7 linked regions of the Callithrix jacchus genome follow. The protein of the gene in region 2 binds, or shares a complex with, the protein of the main gene of each other region. Links are inferred from orthologs where the notes say so. Each region holds a gene or a part of one and is shown on either strand. Other genes may lie near its edges. The genes, in order: CWC27, SF3B5, CWC22, SF3A3, DDX46, PHF5A and SF3A2.

The links.
Region 1: SF3B5 (region 2) and CWC27 share a complex: the UniProt entries of both Homo sapiens proteins name them as parts of the minor spliceosome. The link is inferred for Callithrix jacchus from reciprocal best matches to the Homo sapiens genes SF3B5 and CWC27.
Region 3: SF3B5 (region 2) and CWC22 share a complex: the UniProt entries of both Homo sapiens proteins name them as parts of the minor spliceosome. The link is inferred for Callithrix jacchus from reciprocal best matches to the Homo sapiens genes SF3B5 and CWC22.
Region 4: SF3B5 (region 2) and SF3A3 share a complex: the UniProt entries of both Homo sapiens proteins name them as parts of the 17S U2 SnRNP complex. The link is inferred for Callithrix jacchus from reciprocal best matches to the Homo sapiens genes SF3B5 and SF3A3.
Region 5: SF3B5 (region 2) and DDX46 share a complex: the UniProt entries of both Homo sapiens proteins name them as parts of the 17S U2 SnRNP complex. The link is inferred for Callithrix jacchus from reciprocal best matches to the Homo sapiens genes SF3B5 and DDX46.
Region 6: the proteins of SF3B5 (region 2) and PHF5A are in contact, whole or in part, in a cryo-EM structure (PDB 7EVN), measured with the Homo sapiens proteins. The link is inferred for Callithrix jacchus from reciprocal best matches to the Homo sapiens genes SF3B5 and PHF5A. Residues at the interface, in NP_112577.1 of Homo sapiens: Arg4, Tyr5, Thr6, Ile7, Gln10, Leu14; in NP_116147.1 of Homo sapiens: Pro6, Asp7, Leu8, Ile9, Phe10, Cys11, Arg12, Ile88, Leu91.
Region 7: SF3B5 (region 2) and SF3A2 share a complex: the UniProt entries of both Homo sapiens proteins name them as parts of the 17S U2 SnRNP complex. The link is inferred for Callithrix jacchus from reciprocal best matches to the Homo sapiens genes SF3B5 and SF3A2.

What each region holds. Positions count from the first base shown.
Region 1 is NC_133503.1:144,474,806-144,478,924, forward strand, and holds the end of CWC27 (spliceosome-associated protein CWC27 homolog), read right to left. Parts: intron 849-4,119; coding exon 686-848; 3' UTR 136-685; downstream 1-135. UniProt on the Homo sapiens protein: As part of the spliceosome, plays a role in pre-mRNA splicing. Probable inactive PPIase with no peptidyl-prolyl cis-trans isomerase activity. As a component of the minor spliceosome, involved in the splicing of U12-type introns in pre-mRNAs.
Region 2 is NC_133505.1:150,851,534-150,854,857, reverse strand, and holds SF3B5 (splicing factor 3B subunit 5), read left to right. Parts: upstream 1-1,688; 5' UTR 1,689-1,808; coding exon 1,809-2,069; 3' UTR 2,070-2,424; downstream 2,425-3,324. Other genes in the region: uncharacterized protein LOC118153004, read right to left, coding at 1,590-1,688. UniProt on the Homo sapiens protein: Component of the 17S U2 SnRNP complex of the spliceosome, a large ribonucleoprotein complex that removes introns from transcribed pre-mRNAs.
Region 3 is NC_133507.1:49,068,365-49,071,925, reverse strand, and holds the end of CWC22 (pre-mRNA-splicing factor CWC22 homolog), read right to left. Parts: intron 2,305-3,561; coding exon 1,721-2,304; 3' UTR 634-1,720; downstream 1-633. UniProt on the Homo sapiens protein: Required for pre-mRNA splicing as component of the spliceosome. As a component of the minor spliceosome, involved in the splicing of U12-type introns in pre-mRNAs. Promotes exon-junction complex (EJC) assembly.
Region 4 is NC_133508.1:74,562,952-74,567,702, forward strand, and holds the start of SF3A3 (splicing factor 3A subunit 3), read right to left. Parts: upstream 3,286-4,751; 5' UTR 3,230-3,285; coding exon 3,134-3,229; intron 2,850-3,133; coding exon 2,802-2,849; intron 2,078-2,801; exon of another isoform or gene 556-2,077; coding exon 503-555; intron 398-502; coding exon 292-397; intron 1-291. UniProt on the Homo sapiens protein: Component of the 17S U2 SnRNP complex of the spliceosome, a large ribonucleoprotein complex that removes introns from transcribed pre-mRNAs.
Region 5 is NC_133503.1:33,232,312-33,236,430, reverse strand, and holds part of DDX46 (putative ATP-dependent RNA helicase DDX46), read right to left. Parts: intron 3,356-4,119; coding exon 3,179-3,355; intron 1,888-3,178; coding exon 1,669-1,887; intron 727-1,668; coding exon 582-726; intron 1-581. UniProt on the Homo sapiens protein: Component of the 17S U2 SnRNP complex of the spliceosome, a large ribonucleoprotein complex that removes introns from transcribed pre-mRNAs.
Region 6 is NC_133502.1:192,269,841-192,274,440, forward strand, and holds the start of PHF5A (PHD finger-like domain-containing protein 5A), read right to left. Parts: upstream 3,203-4,600; 5' UTR 3,158-3,202; coding exon 3,075-3,157; intron 2,738-3,074; coding exon 2,646-2,737; intron 2,164-2,645; coding exon 1,997-2,163; intron 1-1,996. Other genes in the region: ACO2 (aconitate hydratase, mitochondrial), read left to right, coding at 3,653-3,688.
Region 7 is NC_133523.1:2,116,191-2,120,992, reverse strand, and holds the start of SF3A2 (splicing factor 3A subunit 2), read right to left. Parts: upstream 3,016-4,802; 5' UTR 2,953-3,015; intron 1-2,952. Other genes in the region: PLEKHJ1 (pleckstrin homology domain-containing family J member 1), read left to right, coding at 3,599-3,692, 3,861-3,928, 4,023-4,246. UniProt on the Homo sapiens protein: Component of the 17S U2 SnRNP complex of the spliceosome, a large ribonucleoprotein complex that removes introns from transcribed pre-mRNAs.

The sequences.
Region 1 (4,119 bases), on a different chromosome or scaffold from region 2:
CTTGACTGTGTCCATAAAACCCAGGCACTGGCCTACATGAAGGCGTGAATGTTTACTTGGGGGTTCCTCAAGACTAAAGGCATGAGGCTGACTTGGATATTCTGAAATATTTATATGCAAAAAACTTCACCCATATTTATAGTCTATTTTTTATTTATAATCTTTTATTATACTCCAAAGTTAGTGAAAGGGAGGTTTCCCAGAAATATTCTTTTTGTAAGAACTTGTTATTAAAAAACCTTGAACGGCCAGATGTCGTGGCGCTTGTGAAGGCGAGGTCATGAGTTCAAGGCTAACCTGAGCAACCTTACAAGCTCACACTGATTGGCAAAAAAAAAAAAAAAAACCTTGAAAAGGAAGCCTTCACATATTTTAGGGTGAAAGGACACAAACAGGTTTGCATAGTCTGCAAATGGTTAACATGTAACAAGGAAGGAAAATTATTTTATTTCAGATTTAGCAATATAAAAGGTCAGGTAGGAAAAAAACGCATGTACCAGTGACTAAAAGCATTTACTTACATCATTCCACAATTTGCAAAACAAGATAATTGTTTTTCAAAACCAGACAACAGGTTCGGAAATACTTCTTTTCACACTCCTAAGTGATGCTGTTGGGAACAATGGCTGTTACAAGGCCACTGCTGGCACATTTCCAGCAAGTTCTGGTTATCGTTATTCTTATTTTATCTTCTTTCTTTTTTCTCTCTCATCAGCTTTTTGCTTTCTTCCCTCCTCCTTTTATTCACTGGATTCCGAGGATCATAGATTTCAAATGTGTCTGAGTCTTGCATGCTTGCATCTTTCACTTTTCTGCTTTTATCCTCAAACTGAAGTACATGTGACATCCTAAAGAGGGAAAGAGATGGTTCAGTGATTCTTGCATGGGAACTTAAAGTAGAAATTCTATACTCTACTATCATTGGCATAATGAACCATAAGCGTACGGAACACCAAGATGGGTTTGTTGTTTACTGGTTCTTACACCACATGGAAACCAATTTCTCAGAAACCTCTTAAATTTGAAAAACATGTCTGGAGTTTGTTCTGTTGGTTTATATTTCTAGTAGAGTATCTTTGCCTCAGTTTTCACTTGAGGTTTCTCCCCTGATGGGAGGTTAAAAGAGTTCTATACAGAAGCGTTCCTCAAAGTAAACTCAGAGGACACTGCTTCCTTTAAAGAACACCTTCCTTTAGCCAGAGTGAGTCAGGCTGCAGAACAAAACTCAAGACAATAAACCAGTCCTATCTGATTTTTAAAATTTTCAACAGTTACATGGGTCAAAAGTAGGGAGTACATTAAGCTAATTTAAAAATGATGTTCAAATGGTGTTATGACTCCCTTTCCTGGGGAATTGCCGGTTTAAAAAAATATTTTCTTCATACAAAAGGAAACTAAACTTTTGACATAACTCTATGGACTAATTTCCTTCTACTGTTGATTACAACAAACCTAACCAGTCCTGTTCTCTTACTTCCTCAAAAGCTCACTGGTCTTAAGGTATCAGCATACGCTGGAATCCTAAGAGGTCATAAGCTAGCTATCTTTAGGATCAGTGAAATATGTTAGTAATTAGCTGTGCCCCATACGAAGTGTCAGGAATAAACAGGGAAGTCAAAAGAGCAGACTTCAGAACAGTTGAATGAATTTGGAAAGAGAAAAGTTTAATTTTTAAACAAATAAAACTCTAAGTCTTTTCCTACCAGTTATACCCTATACACACTTTTCTTCATCACAGCAGACAGGGTTAAACTGTAGTATTAATACTTCTTATACGCCTGTTTTAACCCAAATATGGTGCTAATATCTTTTGTCCCATATAAGCAGATGAAACCCAAATATGATGCTAATATCTTTTGTCCCATGTAAGTGGAGATCTGGGCAGTAAGTAGGCAGTAGTGAAGGTCCCTCTCCCTACAGCGGCAGAAATTATGAGTGATATTTACTTGTGTGGCAAACTCCCATGGATATACCCAGATTTTAAAGACTCCTAAAAAGATTATAGGAGGGAAACAAAATGTCACAATTTTAGTGATACCATCATTACTAAGGGTTCAGTAGCTGCTACTCACCAGGGCTGACGAGTTGAGGCTTATGTACCATTTCTACCTTCCCTTGTCCCACCTAAGAAAGCTTGCTGGAATGTAATAAGTAGGAGTGATATATATGGATGATCTAGAATCTACTTTAATTTACTGAATGACTTAAGTCATGTTCACATTTTTATACTTCATTATTATTATTGTTATTTTTGAGAGAAGATCTTGCCATGTTGCCCCAGATGGTCTCAAACTCCTGGGCTCAAGTGAGCACCCTGCCTCAGCCTTCCACGCAGCTGGAATTACAAACACGTGCCACCATGCGTGGAACTATATTATTAATGATACATTATTTGTATCAAATTTAATAACAGATCTCAATACCTGAACATGCTATTTCACATGTGGAGTTGCCAAGTTTTTAATCTTCCATTCCTTTAGTAAACACCTTTATTTAAAAAATGTATTGTATAATCATTGCAAAGTCTAATATTCTTGTGCTTTCAACTTCCTATAATGTTTAGATATTAGCTTCTGAAAGTAAGACAATCTCTAACTCCCAGAAAAAGGCTGACTGTTCTACAGTCATGGTATTAAGTAAACCACTAGAATCAGTTGGAAAAACAATTAAACCAGATTTAAGCAATTAATGATGTCTCACCAAGGTCTAAATGATCAGTGACAACTCACTTCAGTAAATACACCTCTGAAAGCCAATTAACCAGTGACAGCCACATGCTTTTGAAAGTTGGCCCATCAACTGCAGACTCACTCCAGTGAATATGCTTCTGAATGACAGCCCATCAACAATAGTCTCTTTTGAATAAAGGGGCTTTTGAGATTAATAGCTACACCTAAACAATTCCTGACCCCAAAGCACTATGTAAGATTTGCCACCTACTTTGCGTAGGGACACTGTGCCTTAAAAGCACAGTTCTTCTTTACTTAAGTAATAAATTAAGCCTTTTTTCCCCCAGTTATTGAGAGGTAGCCTTTTTCTTCAACATTTCTTACAGTCTTTGCTGCATCCCCCACAAAATATACTCTTTAAAATTGTAAAATTACCACTGATGAGGAGTAACTGCAGAAGAATGGTAGGACTGTCCTGTTAAAGGTCCCTTACCACACATCATGGGGAGTCTAGACCCCTCTACTGCACTTCAGTACATGATTAGCAGCAGCTTTCCAAGTGCTTATGGCTGGCTGTGTTGATGTCTAATCCATCACCAGAAAGTGTAGCAAGAACCATATGCCCTTTAAAACAATTTCATCAATACTCTTGGACGGATATGAGAAAACAAACCTACTATCTTATTAATACCTCTTCATATACATATTCTTCTATTTAAAAAATTATCCTGTTCTCTGCCCAGAAATACAGATGAGTTTTTGTAATATCCATTTCTAGGGATATTACATGGATTCTCCATGTTTCAAAAATGACTTGATCAGACTGTTGTCAATTAAGAATATAAAAAGGCACCTTCTTACTTTCTATGCCATGAGAAAATCTTGCAACTATTAGATTTAGTTGGCTCTGGTATAAAAAATGAACTCTAGACACATGAATAACAGCATAAAGTCCGCAAGAAGAAACAGATTTCCTTACAAATTTGAAAAAAACCATAGAGCCGTAAGTTAAAGGAGCTGTCTTTTTCAACTGTTTGTTTCATACACCACTCTACTAAGCAAGTTCAACATTTTGATTAATAACAAACCTAAACCCAGAGGAAAGAAAGGGCTATCAGCTTACAAACTACTTCAGCTTTAATATCATAATACTTAGCATGGCTGGTTATTTGGCAATAATATTTAATCTTTAAGAGAAATAAAAGCATAATCAAAATGCTTCACCATTTATCTTTCAACATGCTTTGGTCACTTCATTTTGAAAAGCAAAACAAAACAGTTATTATGATTTTCAGCATAATAAATTCCTGACCTACGTGCCTCTATAAATCACAGACTGTATGAATTGAAAGCGTGCCTGTACTTTACGGTCTCCTATGAGGATACACAAGCAGACATAGAATACAGACTTAATTTGAGTACAGGGGGTCTTATAGTTTACAATCGTGTA
Region 2 (3,324 bases):
TAGCTGCGACTACAGGCATGCGCCACCATGCCCAGCTAATTTTTGTATTTTTAGTAGAGACGGGGTTTCACCTTGTTGACCAGGATGGTCTTGATCTCGTGATCTCGTGATCCACCCGCTTCAGCCTCCCAAAGTGCTGGGATTATAGGCATGAGCCACCGCGCCCGGCCTCTTGGATACACAAACCTTCAGCAATTAAAAAAAAAAGTTTCCCCAGAAAAGTGGCAAAATGTCAAGGTTTGATACATCTCCAACAAGTATGCCTTATAAAATTCTCTACATTTTAGTAGTGAAACGTTTGTTATAACAAAGTTTAAACAGCAGAATAAAACTATTTTCAAGTTCTCTCTCTCTCAGTAGTGTTCCTTCTCTACGGTTGTAATACAATTATTTATCAAATTCTTGTTTGGGATATATATATATATAATTTTTAAAGAGGATCTCGTTTTTTTCAGGTAGCCTCTATCCATATGAGGAAGTTATTAAACTAAAAATTAGGATATAAAGCAATAATAAGGAAGAGATGGATAATCTGCAAAGAGGAAGAAGAATTTACATCTGTCTGGAGCAGCCAGAGAAAATTCTAGGGAGATGCATTTGAGCTGCCTTTAAGGCAGATGCGTTCACCAAGGGAACAGACATTCCAAGTAGAGGGAACAGCTTGCACAAGGAACTGGGGAATGGGCACAACAGGTAACATGGAGAAGTACAGTTGTCCCTCAGTATCTGTGAGTGATTGGTTCCAGGACTCCATGGATACCAAAACTAGAAGATACTCAAGTCCCTGATATAAAATGGCTTGTATTTGCATATACACACATCCTCCCGTATAGTTTTTCTCTAGATTATTTAACAATACCCAATACAATGTAAATACTATGTAAATGGTTGTTATATTGTTTAGGGTATAATAACCTTTAAAAGTCTACACTTCGGTACACACTAATTTTTTTCCCAAATATTTTCAGTCGGGTTGGTTGAATTCACAAAACCCACTGAATGGAAGGGCCAAGTAGGGTGCCGTGAGGCATTGGAGGGAGGATATCAAAATAACTGGCTAGAGAGGAAGGAGGAACTTGAGGTGGAGCCGGAATGTGAGGAAATGGGTACTGTACTTGCTCACCAAACACCCTGGTTAGAGCTGAAATAACTCTTTGATGCTACAAACTCCTAAGCGACATAGTTGGGACCAGAACTCGCGCCTACTGACTTCTGGGTAATCCATCCCGGGTAGTGAAGGGACTGCCGTGCCGCCACGATAGGTCCGAAATACATAAGAGTTTATTTTCGGGGTTGCTCGTAGTCCACTCCTATTTGGGTTTCCCATTTCCCATCAGCCCCAAGCCAACCACGGATGCTTCCCGCCTCGCAGACAACACCCTCCACTAGGCACCCATACCGCTTTTAAAAGGCGACCAGAAGTTCCGGAGGCTGGCGTGCACGAACTCCAAAGACCAAGACCACAAGTCCCAGCATGCAACGCTCCCGGTTGAAAAGGGCCTCTCATAGCCACTAAGCGGACCATCATGCAACGCTCTATGAAGGGGCACGGCTCACTACAGGGGCGGCACACTTGTAGCGTCGCATACCTCGGCAACTCCAATTCCGTGACTGATGTGCTTCCGCTTCCGCTTCCGCCTCTGAGCCCTATGAGCGAGAGTTACACTACTTAGTCTCAGTGACGCCATTCTTCTGCGACCGCGTGGGCCCGGAGGTGCTGTGCGGTGTCCTCACTCCCGCTTGAAACGGTAGAGCGGTGACTTGTTTCCTGCGGCCTCTGACCTCGGAGCGAAGGGGAAAGCGGCGAGATGACGGACCGCTACACCATCCACAGCCAGCTGGAGCACTTGCAGTCCAAGTACATCGGCACGGGCCACGCCGACACCACCAAGTGGGAGTGGCTGGTGAACCAACACCGCGACTCGTACTGCTCCTACATGGGCCACTTCGACCTTCTCAACTACTTCGCCATTGCGGAGAATGAGAGCAAAGCGCGAGTCCGCTTCAACTTGATGGAGAAGATGCTGCAGCCTTGTGGACCGCCAGCCGACAAGCCCGAGGAGAACTGAGACTGCCTTACCAACGCCGTGCGCGGCGCCTCTCCCAGCGTTCCTCCCGTTTGCCAAATCCCTCGAGTATTCCTGCCTTCAAGGGACCGGCTCTCTCCATGGCTCCTGCGTCCCGCGCTTTCTGCGTATAGAAGTGCTTGCCGGGGAAGTCCCTCCTGACCCGCCTTCATGTGGACACTTTGGGACAGCATTGAGAGACCAGCAGGACCCCTGAGAACTGTGCTGGCGGAGAGGTCCTGCAGCCGGCAAGTCTCTGAGAAGAGGGCGTGGCGCTGGAGTGAGATGGGATTTGGCGTCTCGTTTTTGCCTAATTGATTGTCATTGGCTTTTTCCATAAAGTTTAGAAATCGTTCAGTCTCTTGGTGTGAACTTCCTGTGTTAGGGTGGAGGGCTCCGGAAAGAGCTCCAGGCACCGAGGTTCGCGAGAGTCCGAGTGGGAAATGGGTTTGGGTGAGGGTGCGAATGCCAGTGTCTGTGGCCAGGCACTTAGATATGCCTGTATACCTTTATAGTGTTCCCCGACTGCCACTTCCTCCAAGAGCTTTATTTTCAGTCTCACAATGACTTCAGTTTTGAAGTTTGCGGTTAATGTATCCCATCTTTTTCTTCTGTTTTAAAAATCTTTGCTGTCATTGTTTTCCCTAGCCTCTTTAAATTACATCCTTTCTTTTTCCTGGGAATTTGAAACCATGTCTCCAGAAATGACAAGATGGCAAGCGAGTTCATCCATTCTACATTCAACAAATATTTGTTGAGCTCTATGTGACAGGCATTTTCCCATGTTCTTGGGTATACATTAATGCTGGTGGTGGAGAAAGGTCAAACACTGTAGGCATAGCAAGCAAATGTTAGAAGGTGGTGCTGGGAGGGGAGAATTATGTATATGGTGTGGGTGGGGTAGCTGGTAGGGTTGTAATCTTAAATATGATGCACAAGTTATTGAGATGGTGATATTTGAGCAAAGACTTTAGGGAAATAGCCATGCAGAAAGTGAAGAAATTGCTTTCCATGAAGAGGGAACTGCCAGTGCAATGGTACCAACGCTGGGGGTATGTATGACTTACTGGAGGAACTGCAAAGAGGCAAGCATGGCTGGAGGGGGTGAACAAGGGGAAAAGTAGAGGGACAGGTAATGATGGGGAAAACAGTAGAGCCTTCTAGGATAGTATATGAACTCTGAGGAGCCATTGAAATGTTCTGTTTTTTTATTTTTAAAAAATAATAGATGGGTCTTCCTATGTTGACCAGGTTGGTC
Region 3 (3,561 bases), on a different chromosome or scaffold from region 2:
AAACATCACCTCATCAGAGAACTGCTCTGACCTTCTATACCCCCTGTCCCCCAATCACTCAGTCTTTCTCTGCTTTACTTCATAGCACTTATCACTTCTAGATATGTCACATATTTATTTATTGTCTTTACCATCTCCTTCCCCTGAACTATAAGCCCCAAAGTGTAGAAACTCTGTTTACAGTTTTATTTCTAGTACCTAAAACAAACCTGAGCAAATAGTAAAAGCTTAATACATATTAATAACATTAAAAAAGAATCTAACTACTCTAAGGTCTTAAGTACTTAATAAAAAGAATGGGTTCCCATATTTACATGTAAAAGTCATGAACTAAGGTTTAAGTGAAAAAAGTAATTTAAAATTCCTAGTCTACTACTTTTTCCTTTTTACCACTCCCGAAGATGAGGGTTCAAGTAAAAAAATAATTTCCCTTAGGGCTTATGGCCCACATGTTTGTTAAATCCAATCTCCTCAGCTTGCAGTTCTGTGGAATGCACTATGTCTATGATAGTCCCCTTCCGATGATAGCAAATTTTAACCACCACAAAGGGAGAAAAATACTAAAAAGAATTATCTAAGTTATCTCATTCAAATGAACGCTTTTTGTGAGTTGGTGGGGAGAAGGCGAGGATATTTAATTACATAAATTTTATTGTTACTTATAGTCAAGTTAAACAACAAAAATAGGAAACATTTTGAATCAGCATATGCCCAAAAACTAAACATTAAAATAGTGGCCTCAGTATTCCTGAAACCAAACATTGGCTAAAACAAACTATATGCACCTTTAAGGTGAGCAAGCACAAGTCTACATTTAGCAAGTAAGGTCAAATGTTTGCCAGCAAGTCTAAGATCTCAGAGGCAATATTTATTTCAAAAGTAATAAATAATATGGTCATATTAATTAATCGGTGACAGTTACAATGATGGAACCCTTAAAGTTCGTATAAAAAAACAAATTACAGTTAGGCTGCTTGCATATCTCACAACCGTTAAGTTTTCCAATGATCTATTAATCAAAATTAAAAATTAAATACATATTAATTCATCAACAGTGACAAAACTTCAAGGCCGAGAAAAATGTACTAATCACAAAGAATTTCATTTAAATGATATCAAGCAGTCCAGAGAGAAGAAATGTTGCCTGTGGGAGTAGTCCTAATTATAAATAACTGTGTATTGGTTTAAAGACTAACATACACCTAGCTTTACCAACACTTGTGAACAAATTACACATTACTTACTTTGTTCAAAGCCTAATATGAAAACTGTAATAAATCCTTTGGTTTAAAAAAGTGACCACTTGAAAAAGATTCATGACATCTCATTAGCAAAGCAAAAATGTTAAACTGAGAAGGTTCACCTGTTTCGGTCTTCAGTTAGAAATAAAAAAGCACTAATAATTCACTATAACAGCTTCTTAAACAATTCAAAAAAAATTTTGTCAATTAAAAAAAATGACTGAATCAATGAGCAATTTGATAATTTTATTCATAAAATATAAGTGAGACTTACATCCATTTCTGGTGAATCTTCTCAAATAATTTTATGTGTAGGGCCTTGAGATGTATCAATTATAAAACATGAAAACATTTTTAAAATTTACAAATACAAACCATTAGTTTATACAAGAATTCTCTATAAAGTTTGTCAATCAAAGTAAAAAATAATATGCTTCAACTGAATATAAGGCATGTCCAGTTTGTGTCGTTTTGTAGAATTATTTTTGTTTAGTTGGAGACTTTTCTCTCCGCCGGTCCTGATTTTTCTTTGATTCTCTGGATTGTTCAGAGTATCTGTTAGATTTTTCCCATCGCCTCTCGGCACCATTCTGATATCTATCTTCATCACTTCTTGAGCCAGAGTGTTTTCTATTCGTTTCCCTTGACTTTGATCTATCTTTTCTTCTAAAATTTTCACCATCCTTATTTCGGTGTCTATGCTTCTCATTTTCAGAAAAAGAACTTCTGTCTCCTCTCTTCTTTTTGGGGTCACCATGCTTACTTTCCAAATCTATATGCATTTCTTGGTCTATGTCATTCACAACTCTATTGTAGTTATTTCGTTCAGAAGGAACACCTTTGTCTGATGTGTACTTTGTCATAGGATCTCTCCAATTTGAATCTCTTGAATTTTGATCTCTGTGTTTTTCTGATCTTCTTTCTCTCTCAGTCCTTATTTCCTGGTGCCTTTGTTCTTGCCTTCTTTCTTTGTGTTTCCTATCATTTGTTTGCTGGTTTCTGATCAATTTATCTACTTCTTTACTTCTGGTCTTCCCATGTCCCTTCTTTCTTACATCATTAGCTGCATATGTAAAATAAAAGACAGTTAGCTTTTATTTCAATCTTAATTTCATAATTACAACAATCACATTTACAGATACACTGTAGGTTTACTAACTCAGATAAACTGGACGCAAAGCCAAATTGATTGAATAGAAGGTCTGATGACACAGGGTCTTAACAAATGCTTAATTTTTAAGAATATAGGACATCTCAGGTCAGGCACAGCAGATCACGACTGTAATCCCAGCACTTTTGGAAGCAGGGACAGTGGGGAGGTGGACTGCTTGAGCCCAGAAGTTCCAGACCAGCCTGGGTAATGAAGTGAAACCCCTTCTCTACAAAATCTCAAAAATTAGCCAGGTGTGGTGGCATGCGCTTATAGTCCCAGCCACTCAGGAGACTGAGGTGAGAGGATCAACTGAGCCCAGGAGGCAAAAGTTGAGTGATCCATGTATGCACTGCACTCCAGCCTGGGTAACAAAGTGGGACTCTGCCAAAAAAAAAAAAGGGAAGGAAGGGGAAGAAGGAGGGAAGGAGGAAAGTCAAGGAAGAAGAAAGGAGAGGGAATATATAATATCTCAACATTAGTTACCAAAGTACTGTTTTGATCTTTAGATTCAAGACAGTAAAAAGAAATTTTATAGCAAATGTAAAAATTTTTAGAAAATGACTCGAATAGTACATTTCCACTTAACAAATTTAATCAAAAAATTGAAATTCCGTCTGATGTGTGTTATTTATAGGAATATTATGTCAGATGTGGTACCTAATCGAAATACAATGATAACACAAATTAGCAATCACTTCCTAAACATAGGAGGAGTAGAACAACTGGGTTTGCTTAACAGTATGAATATATACTTCTCAATGAAAGGCCTCTTCCTGCCAAAACAATAGTTCTCCTCTCTGATACTTGCAGAGAGACACTAAATGCACCAACAAGAGCAGATATGTTAAGATTTACAGTCATAGGCTTTATTAGAGCCACAAATGCTTAGTTTCTGAAGAAACTCTTCTAAAAAGACCTCAAATAATTTAATTTTGCTGATATAATCCCAACTATAAATACGAAATGATTATACTGAAATAACTTACCACTTTAAGCAACAAAACAAATTTAATCAGTTTATCCGTTACTTAATTTGGGTGCATAAATCAAAAATGCTAAGATAATAAAAATGTCTGTCGAATTCTTACATATGCAGGAAAGAGAAAAATATGATAGAAAAGTGCCTCTTGTCACCCTAATTCTACCTAAATCTCTCTGTACCAATCT
Region 4 (4,751 bases), on a different chromosome or scaffold from region 2:
GACTAATAATCAGAGGAGTCTCACAGTGGACCAAATTGCTGGCCCAGTACCCAAACTGTGCTCAGTCACTGGTTGGGGGCCGCACATGAAATGCGGCCTTGGCTTAAAAGATGAGGGGGGATGCTGAAAACACTGCAGTTGTAGAATGTTAGCTAACTATGGTCCTTGCAGCTAAATGTCAAGTTCTTTCTTGAAGTTCATTAGAATAGCACATGTCCAGTTTCCTTTACTCCTTTCCTTTAGTATGCTTTAAGAATAGGTCTGGAGAAAAGACCTATTCTTTTCTCATACCTCATTTGGGTGCTTCCGGTGGAATTCCTTTATTTGCTTGAGTCTATTATAGAATTCAGCAAACTCATTGGGTCCTGAAATGGCATTGAGCTCCTCCTTTCGTAATCTGCAATTTCAGGAAAAATTCAAAGAAGATAGAGCACAAAGTCAGTCCTCTAACTAGGGTTCCTCAGAAACACCAATTCTTAGATTAGCTGTGACTGTCACTTACCCATCCTTATCATCATACAAATCCCTCAGGTTCCCACTGACCTCCATATACCTCTGAAAGGCAAATACAAAACCATCAGAACGACACAATTTGCACAACTGTAGAGCTAAGCAAACAACAAGGGCTCTCCAGTCAAAGCCCAAGGGCAACCTCAAGAGACATGGATATGGTCTTAACAGTTCCTGTACTTCCTAGTACCTTTTAACACACAGCCCTGATTCCAGGTTAGTTTTTTAAATAGGTTGACTGGAAGATTACCAAAATGATATCATTTAAGAGGTGGCTCCTATCTTTACATACCACCAATGCCTAACTCTGTCTGTAACAGATTCATCCTCATTGGCTAAACACAGTTCCCACCTAAAATCCTCAAAGATAATGATATTCACCATTTCAAAAAGCTTGACTGAGGAGCAGGCAGGCTAAATAAACATTACATAGGCTTCCTTTGGAGTCAAAGTATATTAATTCAGGATGGTACAGGTATGTAGTCATGCCTCCAAAACTTTGGGGACCAGGTTTGTTTCAGAATTTGGAATTTTTTAAGTTCAGAAAAGGTATCATATATTATGTAACATCCCTAGTGGAATCTGAAGCACACAGTTCTGCAGTAAACCTTATGCCTTATCTACTAAGTGGGATAAATAAAAGACTATAAAAAGCCTATCCCAGGTTCAGGCCAGGTTTTACTACCAAGTGAGGTCAAGTCAGATTTTGACATCAAATAATCACCCAAGGGAAAAAAAATCCTTAGTTTTCAGAGTATTTTGGGGCTGAGGGCTTGTAATCTGATTCTCTCCTGTAAATCAGAAGATCCAAGTAGGTCTTTTATTCCTTTTTAAACAGGTTTCAAACATACGTTAAGAGTAAGGAAGGTAGCATAACTTCCATTTACTCATCACCCAATTTTTATAATTTATATAACATCTTTTTTTAAAGTAATAAATTGAGCAATTACAAGGCAAATGCAGTTTAGTAGTCCAAAAAACTTTAAAACAGTATCCTGACAGAAAAACACTAATATATGTTTTTTTTTTAAGAGAAGGATTGTAGCTGTGCACTTGTGTCATAGATTCCTCATAACTATTGTTTGCACATCCAAGGGATACGGGATGCTGTAAGAATGTGCACTTGGGCCAGGCGCGGTAGCTCACGCCTATAATCCCAGCACTTTGGGAGGGCGAGGTGGGTGAATCACTAGGTCAAGAGATCGAGACTATCCTGGTCAACATGAGAAACCCCGTCTCTACTAAAAATACAAAACTTAGCTGGGCATGGTGGCGCAGCCTGTAGTCCCAGCTACTCGGGAGGCTGAGGTAGGAGAATTGCTTGAACCCAGGAGGCGGAGGTTGCGGTGAGCCGAGATCACGCCATTGCACTCCAGCCTGGGTAATAACAGTGAAACTCCGTCTCAAAAATATTAAAAAAAAAAAAAAAAAAAAAAAAAAAGAATGTGCACTTGTAGGCAGGGCGCGGTGGCTCATGTCTGTAATCCCAGTACTTTGGGAGGCTGGGGTGGGTGGATCACGAGGTCAGGAGTTCGACATCATCCTGGTCAACATGGTGAAACCCATCCTACAAAAACACAAAAAATTAGCCAGGTGTAGCGGCAGCCGCCTGTAATCCCCCTATTCGGTAGGCTGAGACAGGAGAATCGCTTGAACCCGGAAAGTGGAGGTTGCAGTGAGCCCAGATCACGCCACCGCACTCCAGTCTGGGCAACAAGAGCAAAACTCGGTCTCAAAAAAGAAAAGAAAAGAGCCGGGCGCCGTGGCTCACGCCTTTAATACCAGCACTTTAGGAGGCCGAGGCGGGTGGATCACGAGGTCAAGAGATCGAGACCATCCTGGTCAACAAGGTGAAACCCCGTCTCTACTAAAAATACAAAAATTAGCTGGGGATGGTGGCGCGCACCCGTAGTCCCAGCTACTCGGGAGGCTGAGGCAGGAGAATTGCTTGAACCCAGGAGGCAGAAGTTGCGGTGAGCCGAGATCGTGCCATTGCACTCCAGTATGGGTAACAACAGCGAGACTCCGTCTCAAAAAAAAAAAAAAAAAAAGAAAAGAAACTAAAAGAATGGGCATCTTCCCGAGTAATTAAGAATGCGTAAGAGTTCCCCATTCAGAGAAGTGAGGAAGCACCCTCACGTTCGGCAGCCGGTGGACTGCCCAGACAGAGAGCCCTCGACTGGCCAATCCGGTTACCTTTGGCCAGGGCTCATGCTGAGACAAGCACTTCACTTCCCCTCTCTTTTCCCGCCCTCGCCGACCCAAAAAGAGGCAGACAGCAGCGCACTCACATCTTGCATGGCCCGAGTGCGGTGATCAGAATTGATCTGGTCCCGGAGCTGAAAAAACAAACGGTGACACAAACGCCGTTAGTTTACGTTCCGGAGTAGAAAAGGCCGCCCGAGGGCGGAGCTCACCGGCTCAGGTTTTAGCAGCTGAGGCGGAAAGGCCTTTGGGGCACTGGACTCCGGGAGGAGGTTACCAAGACCGGAGCTCGGAGACGGAGCTCCGGAGGAGACGGGGGCGGAGCGTGGGGAGACTGAGGCCCAAAGCAAGCTCTCAGAGGTCAAACACGGGATAGAGGCCCAGCCTCACACGCAGCCCCTGACCAGACCCAACTTACCGTGGACTTCTTAGTGAGCATCTCTTTGGCCATGACGTCCATGAGCCGTTCTTTCTCCTCATGATAGCGCCGCTGTTGCTCCAGTATCGTCTCCATCTTCCCTTCGCCGCGGACTCTCAATACAGACCACCTACAAGGCGGAAACAACCCGTGCCGCCTTGCGCGCCTGAGTCCCCACGTTGCGCATCCGGCCGCACCAAAGTTCCTCCAGTGCCGGAAGTGTCCAGGGACTTAGGAAAACATGAGCACCACAAGGAGGACGAGTCTATGTTATCGAGATGGCAACAGTGCCACCTGCTGGTCGGAGGTGTGGTGGACGGACGCCAAGAGGTTTGCAGATTCCTCCAGGTGGCATAGGAAAATCCAAGAACTTGAGGTTCAGCGGCGGGCTTCCCGGGGCTTGCGGGTGCCGGCTGGGCGGACAGGTACCCTGTGTGGACTGTGCGAGCAGTTGGAGTCCGGATGGGAGCTGGGAAACCGGAATTTGAGGGCGCAGTTTTCAGCATGAATTATCAGAACGTTTGCTCCTTCTCTGGACCTCAGTGTCTTTCTCAGTGAAATGGGAATAGTGGGGTTTTGCTGGTGGGTTTTTTTTTTTTTTTGAAACGGAGTCTTGCTCTGTCGCCAAGTTGGAGTGCAGCGGCGCGATCTTGGTTCACTGCAACCTCTGCCTCCCGGGTTCAAGCACTTCTCCTGCCTCAGTCTCCCGAGTAGCTGGGACGATAGGCGTGCGCCACCACACCCAGCTAATTTTTTTTGTATTTTAGTAGAGACAGGGTTTCGCTATGTTGGCCAGGATGGTCTCGATCTCCTGACCTTGTGATCCAACCGCCTTGGCCTCCCAAAGTGCTGGGATTACAGGCCGGAGCCACCAATGGTGGTGTTTTAAAAGAAATTCTCAAGTGAGGCCGGGCGCGGTGGTTCACGCCTGTAATCTCAGCACTTTGGGAGGCCAAGGCCAGCGGCTCACTTGCGGTCTGGTCAACATGGTGGAACCCCGTCTCTACTAAAAAAAAAAAAAAAAATTAACCGGGCATGGTGGCAGGTGCCTGTAGTCCCACCTACTTGGTAGACTGAAGCGGGAGAATCGCTTGAACCCAGGAAGCAGAGGTTGCAGTGAGCTGAGATTGTACCACTGCACTCCAGCCTGTGTGACACAGCAAGACTCAGTCTCAAAAAAAAAAAGAAAGAAAGAAAAGAAAAAGAAATTGATGTGTAGAAGGAACCTATCGGTAGAGGATATGTTAAATAAAATACTGTGCATCCAATGAGGTCAGGAGATCAAGACCAGCCTGACTAACACAGTGAAACCACGTCTCTACTAAAAATACAAAAAAATTAGCCGGGCGTGGTGCGTGACTGTAGTCCCAGCTACTCGAGAGGCTGAAGCAGGAGAATCACTTGAACCTGGGAGGTGGAGGTTGCAGTGAGCCGAGATCGCGCCATTGTACTCCCAGCTGGATGACAGAGCGAGACTCTGTCAAAATATGAAATAAATAAAATAAAGTCTGTGCATCCAAGCAGTGGAAGACCTTATGTGAAATGCTATATGGCCTTTAAAAAAAAAAAAAGACTGTGTCTATTTATCTCCACTTGTAGAGAAATGCAAAAAGTCCAT
Region 5 (4,119 bases), on a different chromosome or scaffold from region 2:
AAGAAAAATTGCTTGAACCTGGAAGGGAGAAGTTGCAGTGAGCCAAAATAGTGCCACAGCACTCCAGCCTGGGCAACAGAGCAAGACTCCATCTCAAAAAAAAAAAAAAAAGAAAAACCTGATTGCTGTTAGATAATGTAATAATGTATTATTTGTATCCATTAGATTATGGCGTTAATTGTCTACTTGTTATTTTGTTAAAGGTATAAACTTTCATGAGCATAATTTCACAGGCAATATTTGCCTAGATAAACATTCATTAAGTGGATTAATATAGTTGATTTACATTCCAACCTAAACTTAGGCCAGAATATACCTAAGCATAAAAAGGTCAGTCCTCAAAATGTTGTTTTAATTTTCAAATTTGATTTGTCAAAACTGAGTCTCACAAACAGATCATTTACTTTTACATACGTACTGAATTTCTAAATAAAGACCTCAAATGACATGAAATTTTTTTGTCAGAGGCGTTCCTTACTTTCAGTTCTCTCTAGAATTGACCTCACATTCTCTCTGTGTCTATTACATCTACATCAACCTTGATCTAAACTGAAGACTGAAACAGAACCAACAGCACATACTTTCAATTGCCAAGTAAATCTTCCGCTCGCCCTCCTTGGGTTCTTTGCCAGGAGGGAAATATGTTCCTCTGATTGTAATTGCAGCTTCAGAGTATTCACTGATTCTCTGTAGAGCTTCCTTAGAGGTAACTTTCCACCTAGCAGTCTAAAAGAAAAGGTAAGGAAAACAAAAATCACTTCACAACAAGACAAAAAAACCCAGGAGTGCTAACAAAGACTAGGCTGACTGATATCACATTATGGTCAATATATATATATATTTTTTGGAAACAGAGTTTCGCTCTTGTTGTTGAGGCAGTGAGATCTTGGTTCACCACAACCTACACCTCCAGGTTCAAGTGATTCTCCTGCCTCAGCCTCCCGAGTAGCAGGGATTACAGGCATGTGCCACCACGCTCAGCTATTTTTTTTTTTTTTTTTTGTAGAGACGGGGTTTCACCATGTTAGTCAGGCTGGTCTCGAACTCCCGACCTCAGGTGATCCATCCACCTCAGCCTCCCAAAGTGCTGGGATTACAAGTGTGAGCCACCGCGCTTTGCCCTATGGTCAATATTAAGATCATTCTTGGATAGGCGTGGTGGCATGATGTTGTGGCTCATTCCTGTAATCCCAGCACTCTGGGAGGCCAAGACAGGAAGATCACCTGAGGTCGGGAGTTCGAGACCAGCCTGAACAACATGGAGAAACCCCATCTCTACTAAAAATACAAAAAAAATTAGACTGGTGTTGTGGCACATGCCTGTAATCCCAGCTACTCGGGAGGCTGAGGCAGGAGAATCACTTGAATCCAGGAGGCAGAGGTTGAAGTGAGCCAAGATCACACCACTGCACTCCAGCCTGGGCAATAAGAGCGAAACTCCGTCTCAAAAAAACAAAAACAAAACAAAGATCATTATTAACACATACCTGCATAAGTTCATTTAGATCCTAAGGTACACTGAACATATTCATAAAAGTCAAATTTCTATTGTTACATCCTCCATTTAGGTAAAAAGTGAAGTAGCTATTAAAATATTCATGGGTTTTAAAGATGAGATTTTTGCTTTTTCTGCTTCACAATAAAAAAAGGTTTAAAACTGTTACTTGCCTGTGGGAAGTCATTGATCTCTAATTCTTCTTCATATCTCTTAAAAGATTCATTCTGTCCACCATCCTGTCTCTCTTCTTCTTGTTTCTCTAAAGGCACATAATTGAGCTTGGCATTGATCTTTTCAGCAAGTTGTTCTGCAATGGTTTTTGCAGACACCGTGGGAGCCAGAATGGTGCCACCTCTAAGAATTGCATTGGTGGCCTGTTGCATCACATCCTGTAGTTAGAGAAGACTTACAGTTAAATCTCAAATGAGGGCAGAGACAAGAGTAGGGAACCCACCACAAATTATTCTCTGAAAAGCTACTAACTTTTATGCAAGTTTAATAAATAAACACTTCTAATGCATAGCCCCACTGACATGTGATTTAGCAATACATAATTATAACATAGTTTAATGTTTTTCCCTGTGAATAAAAAAACTGGAAAATATTCAACTCTCTATTATATATTCTACTAGATCATAGAGATGCAGCTGATAATTAACTAACTCTTGATGTCAGATACAGTAAATATTTCCAGAATCATTTACATACTTGGTAACTCCTAGGAGTTTCCTCCAAATTTGAAAGTTTATACTACTACCATCACTGAGTTCCTTCCTCCCCATGACCCAACCCAGCATTAAAAATGTGATAATGACTGACTCAAAAGCTTCAAAATAACAAATACGCTTCCAAGAAAGAGGTATCATGAAATATGTAAAAATTACATTTCTCCATTTAAGCCCATGTTAATTTGAGTCATTTAACTAGGTGTTTGTACATCCAGGGAGTTGTATGCCCAATAACCCAATGAAAGCTTATAAAGAAACAGAATTATTCATACATCTTAACGGTTTTGTTAAGACCCATCAGAATACTACTCTATAAAACTACCTATGGCTAATAGTTAGAAAGTCTAGAACAGGCATAAAGTCCTCAGTTAATAGCACTAGAAAAATCATCCAAATACAATTATAAAAAAAAATCCTATGTTGAGAATGTTAAATTCTCACAAACTCAATGTCCAGGACAACTTGTTTACTTGTGCTCAACATAATCCTTGAAAAATAAAATCAAAGAACTTATTAAAAGTTTTAGCTTGGTGCAGTGCCTCACACCTGTACTCCCAGCACTTTGGGAGGCTGAGGTGAATGGATCACCTGAAGTCGGTAGTTCGAGACCAGCCTGACCAACATGGAGAAACCCCATTGCTACTAAAAATACAAAATTAGCTGGGTATGGTGACACATGCCTATAATCCCAGCTATTCGGGAGGCTGAGGCAGGAGAATCACTTGACCCCAGGAGGCAGAGGTTGTGGTGAGCCGAGATCATGCCATTGCACTCCAGCCTAGGCAACAAGAGCAAAACTCAGTCTCAAAAAAAAGAGTATTGACTGAGACTTGGAACAAATTACTTAATACCTGAGAGCACACCATTGTACTCCTGGCCTGGGCAACAAGAGCAATACTCTGTCTCAAAAAAAAAAAAATGTATTGACTGAGACTTGGAACAAATTACTTAATACCTGAGACTCGATGCCCAAATTCTTCTGAGCATTGATTCTAAGAGCCAATCTCTTAGCAATTTCTAATTTCTCAGCATTTCCTGCAGTTGGAGCAGGAACACTTGATGTTCCAGGGGCAGCCATATCCTTTACTCTCTTCTTTGAATTAAACATGCTTTCAATTTGCTCATCAATCTAGATCAAAAGCAAAAAAAGGACAAGTAAAAAAACTGAATTAGAAATACCAAATTAGGTTATTCTACAGAAATAAATAAGGAATGTTTCCACCAACAGGCTGGAAATATTTATGCAAATCCTACTACGTAGATCAATGGGAAAATATACCACCTATTTGTTAAAAGTCACATGTCTCATTTCAAATATCAGTTGTCTATGGTGGGAAAAAAAACAGAAACAGAGAAACAACACTGCATGAACCACTTCATCAGACTCCTGAGAGGCCCAGAAACTACATCCCTGTTCAATAAATGAGGAAACATGTGCTGTCAAGACAGAACAGCAAATATGATGCAGCTGAGTTGCCCCAGGGCTCAAGCCTTGAGACCAAATTATACTGCAATGAAAGAGGCTGGAAAAAGGGCTATAACTCAAGGTCAGTGGCCAACTAAAAATACAGTCAATAATTCTCAAGGGGAATAGTATAACACGTTCCTAAGGCAAAGCTCTCAAAACTCTTCCTAACCCATAAAATGCAATTGGATTTGCCTTGAAAACTGGGTAACTGAACCAGAAAAGGCTTATTCCCTTATTCCTTTGAATCAAGAAAGGAAATAAATGCAGGTTGTTTCCCCATCAAGGCAAGTGCAATGATGAAAGCTTTGTTTTGACAGAAGTCACATGAATGCTACTGCTATGTACATTTCTTTTTTAAAAAAATGCCTTTTGCCCAACAATGACTACTGATATCACTGACTATAGAAATACAAGCCCCTTCAGAA
Region 6 (4,600 bases), on a different chromosome or scaffold from region 2:
ACTGTGCCCGGCCAGAATTGTGTATCTTTTGCCTTGTTCTAAATTAGAATTAAATTAGGTAACTGGGTACCACCATTAACCTGGTGGGACTATACCATACTTCCTTTTGTTTTGTTTTTTTGAAGAAAACAAGCTGATTCATAGTTTCCCCCCTAGAAAACTCTGCTGCCAGCACTAACCTAAAGAAATGGGGTAAACCTTGCCTGTAGCACTGGTCTATAAACTCTCTCTCCTGACTTTTGGCTCAGAGAGTTGAATAATTAAGTAGCCACTGTCATACACAATGTCAAGGGACAAAAAAAATCATGATGCAGGTCCAAAATCATTTCTGCAATATTAAACCAAAGACATTCGTTACCTGCTTAAAGCTGATGTCAACTTGAATTGTCTCAAGTTCAACTTTGTCATGATATATACCCAAATAGTGCTTAATGATAGATTTGAGACATTAATGAGTGGCTGTGACACAACATGCACTGTATAGGACTAATAAACACACAAGGTCTCTGTCACCCAGGCTGGAGTGCAGTGGCATGAACATGGCTCACTGCAGCCTTGACCTCCTGGGCTCAAGTGATTCACCTGCCTCAGCTTCCCAGGCAGCTGGGACCACAGGTGCACACCACCACACCCTACTAATGAAAAATATTTTTTTGGCCAGTCATGATGGCTACATGCCTGTAATCCCAGCTCTTGGGGAGGCTCAGGCAGGAGGATTGCTTGAGCCCAGGAGCTTGAGACCAATCCAGACAATAAAACGAGACCCCATCTCTACAAAAAAATTAGCCAGGCTGAACATGGCGGCTCATGCCTCTAATCCCAGCACTTTGGGAGGCCATGGCAGGTGGATCACCTGTGGTTAGGAGTTTGAGACCAGCCTGACCAACATGGAGAAACCCTGTCTCTACTAAAAATACAAAAAAAAAAAAAAAAGCTGGGTGTGGTGACACATGCCTGTAATCTTAGCGACTTGGGAGGCTGAGGCAGGAGAATCACTTGAACCGGGAGGTGGAGGTTGTGGTGAGCCAAGATTGCGCCAATGTACTCCAGCCTAGGCAACAAGGGCAAAACTCCATCTCAAAAAAAAGGAAAAAAAAAAAAAAGAAAAAAAATTAGCTAGGTGTGGTGGTGCATGCCTGCAGTCCCAGCTACTTGGGAGGCTGAGGTGGGGGGATTGCTTGAGCCCAGGAAGTCAAGGCTGCAGTGAGCCTTGCACATGATCATGCCACTGCACCCAGCCTGGCCACGGAGCAAGAGACCCTGTCTCAAATAAAAATTATTATTTTTTGTCGAGATGGGATCTTGCTGTATGGCCCAGCCTGGTCTTGAACTCCTGGACTAAAGTCATTCTCCTGCTGTGGACTCCCAAAGTGCTGAGATTACAGGTGTGAGCCACCATCCCCAACTGGATGTCTTTTTTTTCTGAGACAGAGTCTCACTCTGTTGCCCAGACTGGAGTGCAATGGCACGATTTTCGCTCACTGCAACCTCTGCCTCCTGGGTTCAAGTGATTCTCCTACCTCAGCTTCCTGAGTAGCTGGGATTACAGGCGCACACCACTAAGCCTGGCTAATTTTTGTATTTTTAGTAGAGTCAAGGTTTCACCATGTTGGTCAGGCTGGTCTGGAACTCCTGACCTCATGATCCACCTGTCTCAGCCTCCCAAAGTGTTGGGATTACAGGCGTGAGCCATCGCGCCTGGAGCAGATGTCATTTCTGAATAAGAATAATCACAGAGAGACATAAAAAGAATAGAGAGAGGGCTCTCCAAATTGCTGGTCTTGACACAGATTTGCTTACCTTGCATTTTCCCCTTGATGCAAAATAACTGCCTTTTATTGGACTACACCCAGTTTGACTCACAGAACTTGAAGAAATTATAACCTAGATGACTAGATGAACACAGTAATCTCCATAGACCATAGGAGATTGCAGTGGATGGCAAAGTGTTATTAAATAAAAGGAGGAAAGGTCAGATGGAAAGCTGTACACTTACATCCTTCTCCTGGATGGTACACTCCTTACAATAATAGGCATCAGAGACCCCAGGGCCTCCGCAGATCACACAGCGCCCCTGGTAAGATCCATAATTACACTCATCACATATGCGAACCAGAGTACAGGGACGCACATAGGAGTCACAAATCACACACTTGCCATCACCTGCAAGGAAAAGAATGAAGTCATGCTCACTAGCAAGTTCTTCAGTCCTCTGCTATTTCCTGCCATGGGGAAAGATACTAGTCTCCTTTTGACAGTGACTTTAGGGCCCTCCTCTTGGGAATCACAAACTTGGTTTATCCAGCATCCATCTCAAACCCCTCAACACATACAAAAGTTTATCAATTAACATATGGAAAGAACTTAGAAAAGCACTTGGGAGATGATAAGCCTATATAATTGCTGGCAAAATGTTGTATGTTGGGGAGGGGTCACGCTACTCTGGCGATTCTTCCTGTTGAAAGCTAGAGATAGATACAGCATTATATGTGCAAGTGGCAGTGGGGAGATGGAGGGGCCTTTGGTTGAAGTCCAGCATCTAGATCCAGGCACATCTACTCAAAGACCCCTTTGTGGCACTTTGGCTGGCTCCACAGAAACTGGGAGTAGGAAGGGTGGGTTGTTGGACGGTGTGTTCCACTCACATTTTTCACACAGTCTTCCGATGGCTGCAAAATCAAAGATAGTAAAAAGTACAATTAAAGATTTTGACAAAGAGGGGAAGTACATCCTCGACCTAGGGACAGGAACATGAACAAGGACTGTAGTGAGCCCTGTGGATAGCCATTTTATCATTACAAATTTCCACATAAAGCAAACTCATAGCCCGAGTATCCTTCTGAATGTCTTCCAAAGTCCTTAGCAAACTAAGTTTCTCTAGACTTGGCCCAGACCCCAACCCCGACGCCTGCCTGGGGCTCCCAGCACGCGCACCCCCGCCCTCAGAGGCCACAAACCTGCGCGCTCCTACAACACTCTATGCCTGAGAGGCGGGAAACGTGGCGCCTGAGAGGCTAGACCCTAAGGAAGAGATGGAAACCCCCCCAGCCCCCAGATCCTAACACTACCCCTACCCAGACAGCCGGGGGCAAGGCGCAGTCTCACCAACACCAGCCTGTTTGCGGCAAAAGATCAAATCAGGATGATGTTTAGCCATAGTTCCCAACGAAGCCGGCCGCCGGAAGCTTCGGGAACTTCCGTTGGATCCTTAACCCCTATAGTTCCTGCCTCTACGTCGTTGTGATTGGTCCTCTAGGCTTCCGTCAGTTTACAATCCTTGCACCAGGGCCCGCTTGCTCTCGCGAGAGTTTTGTCGCTGGGCGGTCAGGTCCTGGCAGGTGCATAAAAGTCTTAAAAACTCCCAGATTTGGATGGCAGAGATAATGAAAATTTCTTATTGGATAAACATCTTTGTGCTTGGTATTTACTTCTGCAAGTGACTTTCGGCAGTTTTATTTCCTCTTTTTCCTCTTGCGTGTCGGTTCATTACACGTGAACTCCGCTCACTGCGTTCTCAGGGTTCTGCCGCCTCTAGGGAGACCCCGCCTTCACCGTGACGCTCCATTATTTTGGGCACGCCCCTGCCCAAAGGCTTTAAAAGCGCCGTGTGGGACGTCACTTTCACGCGACCTCATCTTTGTCAGTGCACAAAATGGCGCCCTACAGCCTACTGGTGACCCGGCTGCAGGTGAGCAAGCTCAGGGACCTCTAGGTTCATGGGGGCGGGGTGCCTCCTACTCTGCCGGCGGCTGTGGGTGAGGCAGGGCGAGGCGGGCCCGACCTGGGGCCAATTTTTCTTGTACCTGTCCTGGTTGTGGGCCCAGCACCCGTGCCCGCTCCTCTGGTGCCCTAGGTCAAGGCGTCCCCCACACTGTCAGCTTTCCTGGCCCCGTCCCCCGCCCCGCGAGAAGCGTGGGCCCACGCAGCGGCGGCCAGGTGAGGAGCGGAGGCACCTCCTTCTTCTTGAGGAGAGCATTCCCTGCTTCTGTGGAGTGTGTTTCGGTTCCTCAAGGTGAGGACAAGGTGACTAGGGGGCGCGGTCGTTGTTGAGCATTCTAGGCCCAGTGCCTGAGGCCTCACTTCCCATTTCATAGCAACAGAGACTCGACAGCATCTGCAGTTGCCGGGCCTGGAGAAGAAACTAGGACCCTGTGCCACCTTTTGAGGACTCTGCGGAACATGGAATGCCTGGGGGTGTCTTCTGGGCCCCTGCGTAGTATATAGTAATGATAGTTTCTCACCTTTGCACAAGATTTGAAAACTTTTAATTCTTCGTTAAATCATTTGATTCATGTAATCATAGGAATGAGATGGTTTTTCTTATCTGATAGGTCATAAAACTGGTAGAGAGTAGGTGAAAGTTCTGGTTCTGAGTGTCACCGAAGTGCTGTGACAGAAGCATGAGCCCTACCACCACTCAGTTTTTGTTTATGTCAGTTTGCCCTCACAGAACTTTCTGAACCATGGTACTGTCATTTCTATTTGTCAGAATGCAGAATGAATGTTTTGAGCTCATAACAAGTTGCTTGTCAAATATGGAAGGATAGGGAGACTCCAGTTTGACCTTGACTTCCCTGTTAGAAGCTATGTAGAAAGCTGA
Region 7 (4,802 bases), on a different chromosome or scaffold from region 2:
CTTCCGCTGGACAGAACACAACACGCAGCAGAAACCAGCGGGCCGCCCGTCTTTTGAAAACAGCCTTCACGGTTCTGAACAAACACAGATTTTCTCCTTCCTTCCTTCTTTCTTTCCATCTCTCTTTTTTTTTTTTTTTTTTTTTTTTTTTCAGATGAATTCTCACTCTGCTGCCCAGGCTGGAGAGCAGCAGGGCGATCTGGGCTCACTGCAACCTCCGCCTCCAGGGTTCAAGTGACTCTCCTGCCTCACCCTCCCAAGTAGCTGGGAGTAGCTGGGACTACAGGCGCCCGCCACCACAGCTGGCTAATGCTTGCATTATTAGAGCGATGGGGTTTCGTGAAGTTGGCCAGCCTGGTCTTGAACTCCGAAGTCAGGTGATCCACCCACCTCAGCCTCCTAAAGTGCTGGGGTTACAGGCGTGAGCCACTGTGCCCAGCCTACGAATACAGATTTTCAATCTAGATTTTTATACCCCACCAAATTCCTAACTATGAGGGTAAATAAACTCATTTTCAGACAATCAAGGGCCACCCCCCCCACCAACAAAACAATCATCTATTTCTTCAAAAGCCACCAGAAGTTCTGCTCTGACTCATGGAGAGGACAGGGTGGCCACGCTGGAAACAGAGGCAGGCCCCGGGCAGCAAGGACCGGAAGCTCTGGGGCAACAGCCCCACGTCCAGGGCAGAGCAGAACCAGTCCCACCTGGAGGAGGGGACACGTGAGTCTTGGAGGGAAGTGGTGAGGAGAGACGGATTTATTTAAACCTGTGTGAAATACAACTGATAGGTGTGTGAGATGCTGGAGCTCTGTGAGGAGCTAAACAAACAGGCAGAAGAAAACCAGGCTACGGGGGGAGGCGGGGGCAGGAGAAGCGCCTGAACCCGGGAGGCAGGGGCTGCACAGAGCCGAGATGGCGCCACTGCACTCCAGCCTGGCAACGGAGCAAGACTGTCTCCAAAAAAAAAGCAAAGCAGGCTAATGGTAAAAAGCAACTTGCTCAGCTTTAGGGGAAGAAAGAGTGCAAAACAAAAGCCCAGCTGAACATGTTACTTCTCTCAGCAACCAACAACGTTTTCCATCTTATTTAGAAAACGTAGCCAAGGACCTACTCCCGCTCAGGACAGACGCCCATCCAGGAGGTGGAAGGTGAAGGTGCAGGGGGTGGATGGGAGGGAGGTAGTGTCAACCACCCTGACGTGAAATCAGCAGATCAGTCCAGGAAGACCAGGGCACAGCCTGACCAACATGGCAAAACCCCACCTCTAAAAAAAAAATACAAAAGTTAGCCGAGCCCGGCGTGGTGGCTCACGCCTGTAATCTCAGCACTTTAGGAGGCCGAGGCAGCCGGATTACCTGAGGTCAGGAGCACCACACCAGCCTGGGCAACAACACAAAACCCCGTCTCTACAAAATATACAAAAACTAGGCGGGCATGGTGGTGAGTGTCTGTAGTCCCAGCTACTCAGGAGGCTGAGGCAGGAGCATGGCCTGAGGCTTCAGTGAGCTGTGACTGCACCACTGCACTCCAGCCTGGGTGACAGAGCAAGACCCTGTCTCAAAAAAGACCAGGGAAACCCACTTAAGAATTGAGGAAGGCCAGGGGCGGTGGCTCACACCTATAATCCCAGCACTCCGGGAGACCAAGGCAGGTGGATCACGAGGTCAAGAGATCGAGACCATCCCGGTCAACATGGTGAAACCCCGTCTCTACTAAAAATACAAAAATTAGCTGGGCACGGTGGCGCGTGCCTGTAATCCCAGCTACTCGGGAGGCTGAGGCAGGAGAATTGCCTGAACCCAGGAGGCGGAGGTTGCAGTGAGGCAAGATCGCGCCATTGCACTCCAGCCTGGGTAACAAGAGCGAAACTCCGTCCCCCCCCAAAAAAAAGGAACTGGGGAAAGTCCTGGGGCCTGGGACTGGAACACTGAGCGGATGGGAGTTTTTGGTGGCAACTCCATTCTCTCCTTAAACCTAGCAAACAACCTATTTTCCAGAGCTCCCGTGGCTGTTTGGTGCTGCCCAAGGACACACAGGAGTAACGGTCGCAGGCATCCAGCTGCCTGGGGTGACCTGCAAAATGGGGCCAGCTAAGGTTTTCCGTTCGCCTTGGGCCTGGTGAAGCTGTCACTCCCGTTTTAAAGGAACGGAAGCTGAGAGGAGTTACATCACAGAGCCCCAGTCAACTAACAGGTATAGGTTAGGATGCAGGAGCGCTCTGGGCTACAACAAAGCGGACCCAGACCGTTTCGGCCGCGATCCTGATCCGACCCCTGAGTCTCGGTTGTCTATTTCTTATCTTACGAACCAGGATCTTGCTCTGTTGCCCAGGCTGGAGTGCAGTGGCGCAAGCACAGCTCACTGCAGCCTCGAGCTCCTGGGCTCAAGCGATCTTCCCGCTTCAGCCTCCAGAGTGGCTGGGACTACAGGCGCCCGCCGCCACGCCCGGCTAATTTTTTAAACAATATTTGCAGGGATGGGGGTCTCGCTATGTTGCCCAGGCTGAAGTGCAGTGGTGAGATCATGGCTCACTGCAGTCTCGACATCCTGGGCTCAAGCGATCCTCTCGAGTGGCTGGGACTACAAGCGCCACCACCACTCCTGGCTAGTTTTTAAAAATTTTTTTGTAGAAATGAGGTCTCCATGTTGTACAGGCTGGTCTCGAACTCCTGGCCTCCACCGATCCTCCGGCCGAGGCCTCCCTGAGCGCTGGGATTAGAGGCGTGAGGTCCGGAGTACGGACCCCCCAACAGGTGTTTGGAAATAAGAGTTTCGAGCCAGCCCGCCCAGCGCGGGGCCTCTAGATGCACGAGGCCGGACGCTCAAGGGAGGAGGAAGGGACGCGACCCCGCTGCCCGCCCCTCAGCCCGCGGCCCGTAGCAAGCGCTTCTCTCCCACGTCCGCTCCCCTCCAGGGAACCCCCAGTCCCCGTCGACCGACGCCCTCACCAGAGCCCAAGGCCGCGCTATCGCCACCTTGATCCGCCACCGCCACGATTTCGTTCGGCGCACGCGCGTCGCGGGCAAAAGAAAGCACTTCCGGGGCAGATGGGGCGGGAACTCCCGTGTGCGCATGCCCGGCCCGCCCCGCGGCGCGCGTCGGGAGGTTCGGAGGCGCGAGGGAAAGGGCTGGAGGTGGCGGGTCTGAAAGTGCGGCCTGGAAAACAAAGCGCGCGTGCGCACAACGCTTTCAACGACCCCTGGGTCCGCTGCGGCCGCGCGGGGCCGACTTTCGCGAGAGGGCGGCTGATACTCGGGAGATGTTATCGCTCCCTCCGCCTGCGCCTGGCCGTTCTAAGAAGGGGCGCCAGCCCTCGCGGGGCTGTTTTGATTTTGTTCCACCTTGGTCCGGTGTATTTCAGTTAACTTAGTAACGACGGTCCGTCTCCCCAGCCAACCCTTGCACGCCCCCCCCCCCGGGACGCCAGCGCCACCCTGCGGGGGTGGGTGGCATGGCCGGCCCAAGGCGCGCAGGCGCACTAGCCCCAGCGGTGCTTCCGTGTGTGCGCCCTGGGACCTTTTTGGCGCCGGCCCCGGCGCGAGCGGGGACGGCGGCCGGGAAGGCGTGGCACGGGTTCCCGTTCCCCGCGGAACAATGCGGTACAACGAGAAGGAGCTGCAGGCGCTGTCCCGGCAGCCGGCCGAGATGGCGGCCGAGCTGGGCATGAGGGGCCCCAAGAAGGGCAGCGGTGAGCGGGACCCGGGAGACCGGGACAGTGCTAGGGACTGGAGGCGGGGACCGAGGTCCGGGCCTGGGCGGGAGACCGGGTCCGGGGTTCGGGTGAGGGCGCTGGGGGTGGAGGGTGGGGATCCGGGCGGGGACCGCCTGCGCCCCTGAGCGTGCGCTGTGCTCGCAGTGCTGAAGCGGCGGCTGGTGAAGCTCGTGGTGAATTTCCTCTTCTACTTCCGGACAGACGAGGCCGAGGTAGGGGCGCCCCGGGCGCGCGGGTGGGTGCCAGGCTGCGCCCCGGGGAGGCTGGGCGCTCACCGCCGCGTCCCGGCGCCCGTGTCTCCTGCAGCCCGTCGGAGCCCTGCTGCTGGAGCGCTGCAGAGTCACCCGGGAGGAGCCCGGCACCTTCTCCATCAGTGAGTGCGGCTGGGGAGGCCAGGGGCGCCTCCAGCAGCCCGGGGCACCCGCGGCGCCGCACTGTCCCCTCCCCAGGCGCCCAAGGCCTCCTCTGTGTCCCCAGCCTGGCGCCACCCTCCCCAGACACAAGAGTGCGTTGTCCACGGCCAGCTCAAGGTCAGGTCCTCCTGGCGGGCACCGCCGTGCCCACCTGCCAAGTCCACCTAAGCTTGGGCCCCTCCCAGAGTCTGCCCTTTCTTCCTGTGGGCCCAGGCTGTACCCACGGGGCGGACGGGCCGTGATGCACAGCGCTTCCCCGGCTGCCGTGATTAGCGTGGGTCTACACTGTTGTATGGCCCTGGGCTGGAAACCCCAGGTCGGGGTGGGGGAGTGAGAGGGGTGTGGCTCTCCTGGGTTTTAAGAGATTCCCGTCTTCGGGGAAAGATGGAGTTCGCAAGAGGGGCTGTCAAAATTCCACAGGCCAGGCGGCTTCAGTATCAGAAACGATCCCAGTTCCTGGTGGTGGCCGGCACCTCCCAGCTTCCTCGGTTTGTGGAAGCATCTCCCCATCCCTGCCTCCATCCTCACCTCGTCCTCCCCGCATCGCGTCTGGGTCCACCTTTCTTCTTCTACAGAGACGCCAAACAGAATTGAGGGCCACCCTGACAACCCCGTTTTATGTTTTGTGCCGGGGTCTCATTCTGTCACCCAGGCTGGAGTACAGTAGCGCCAT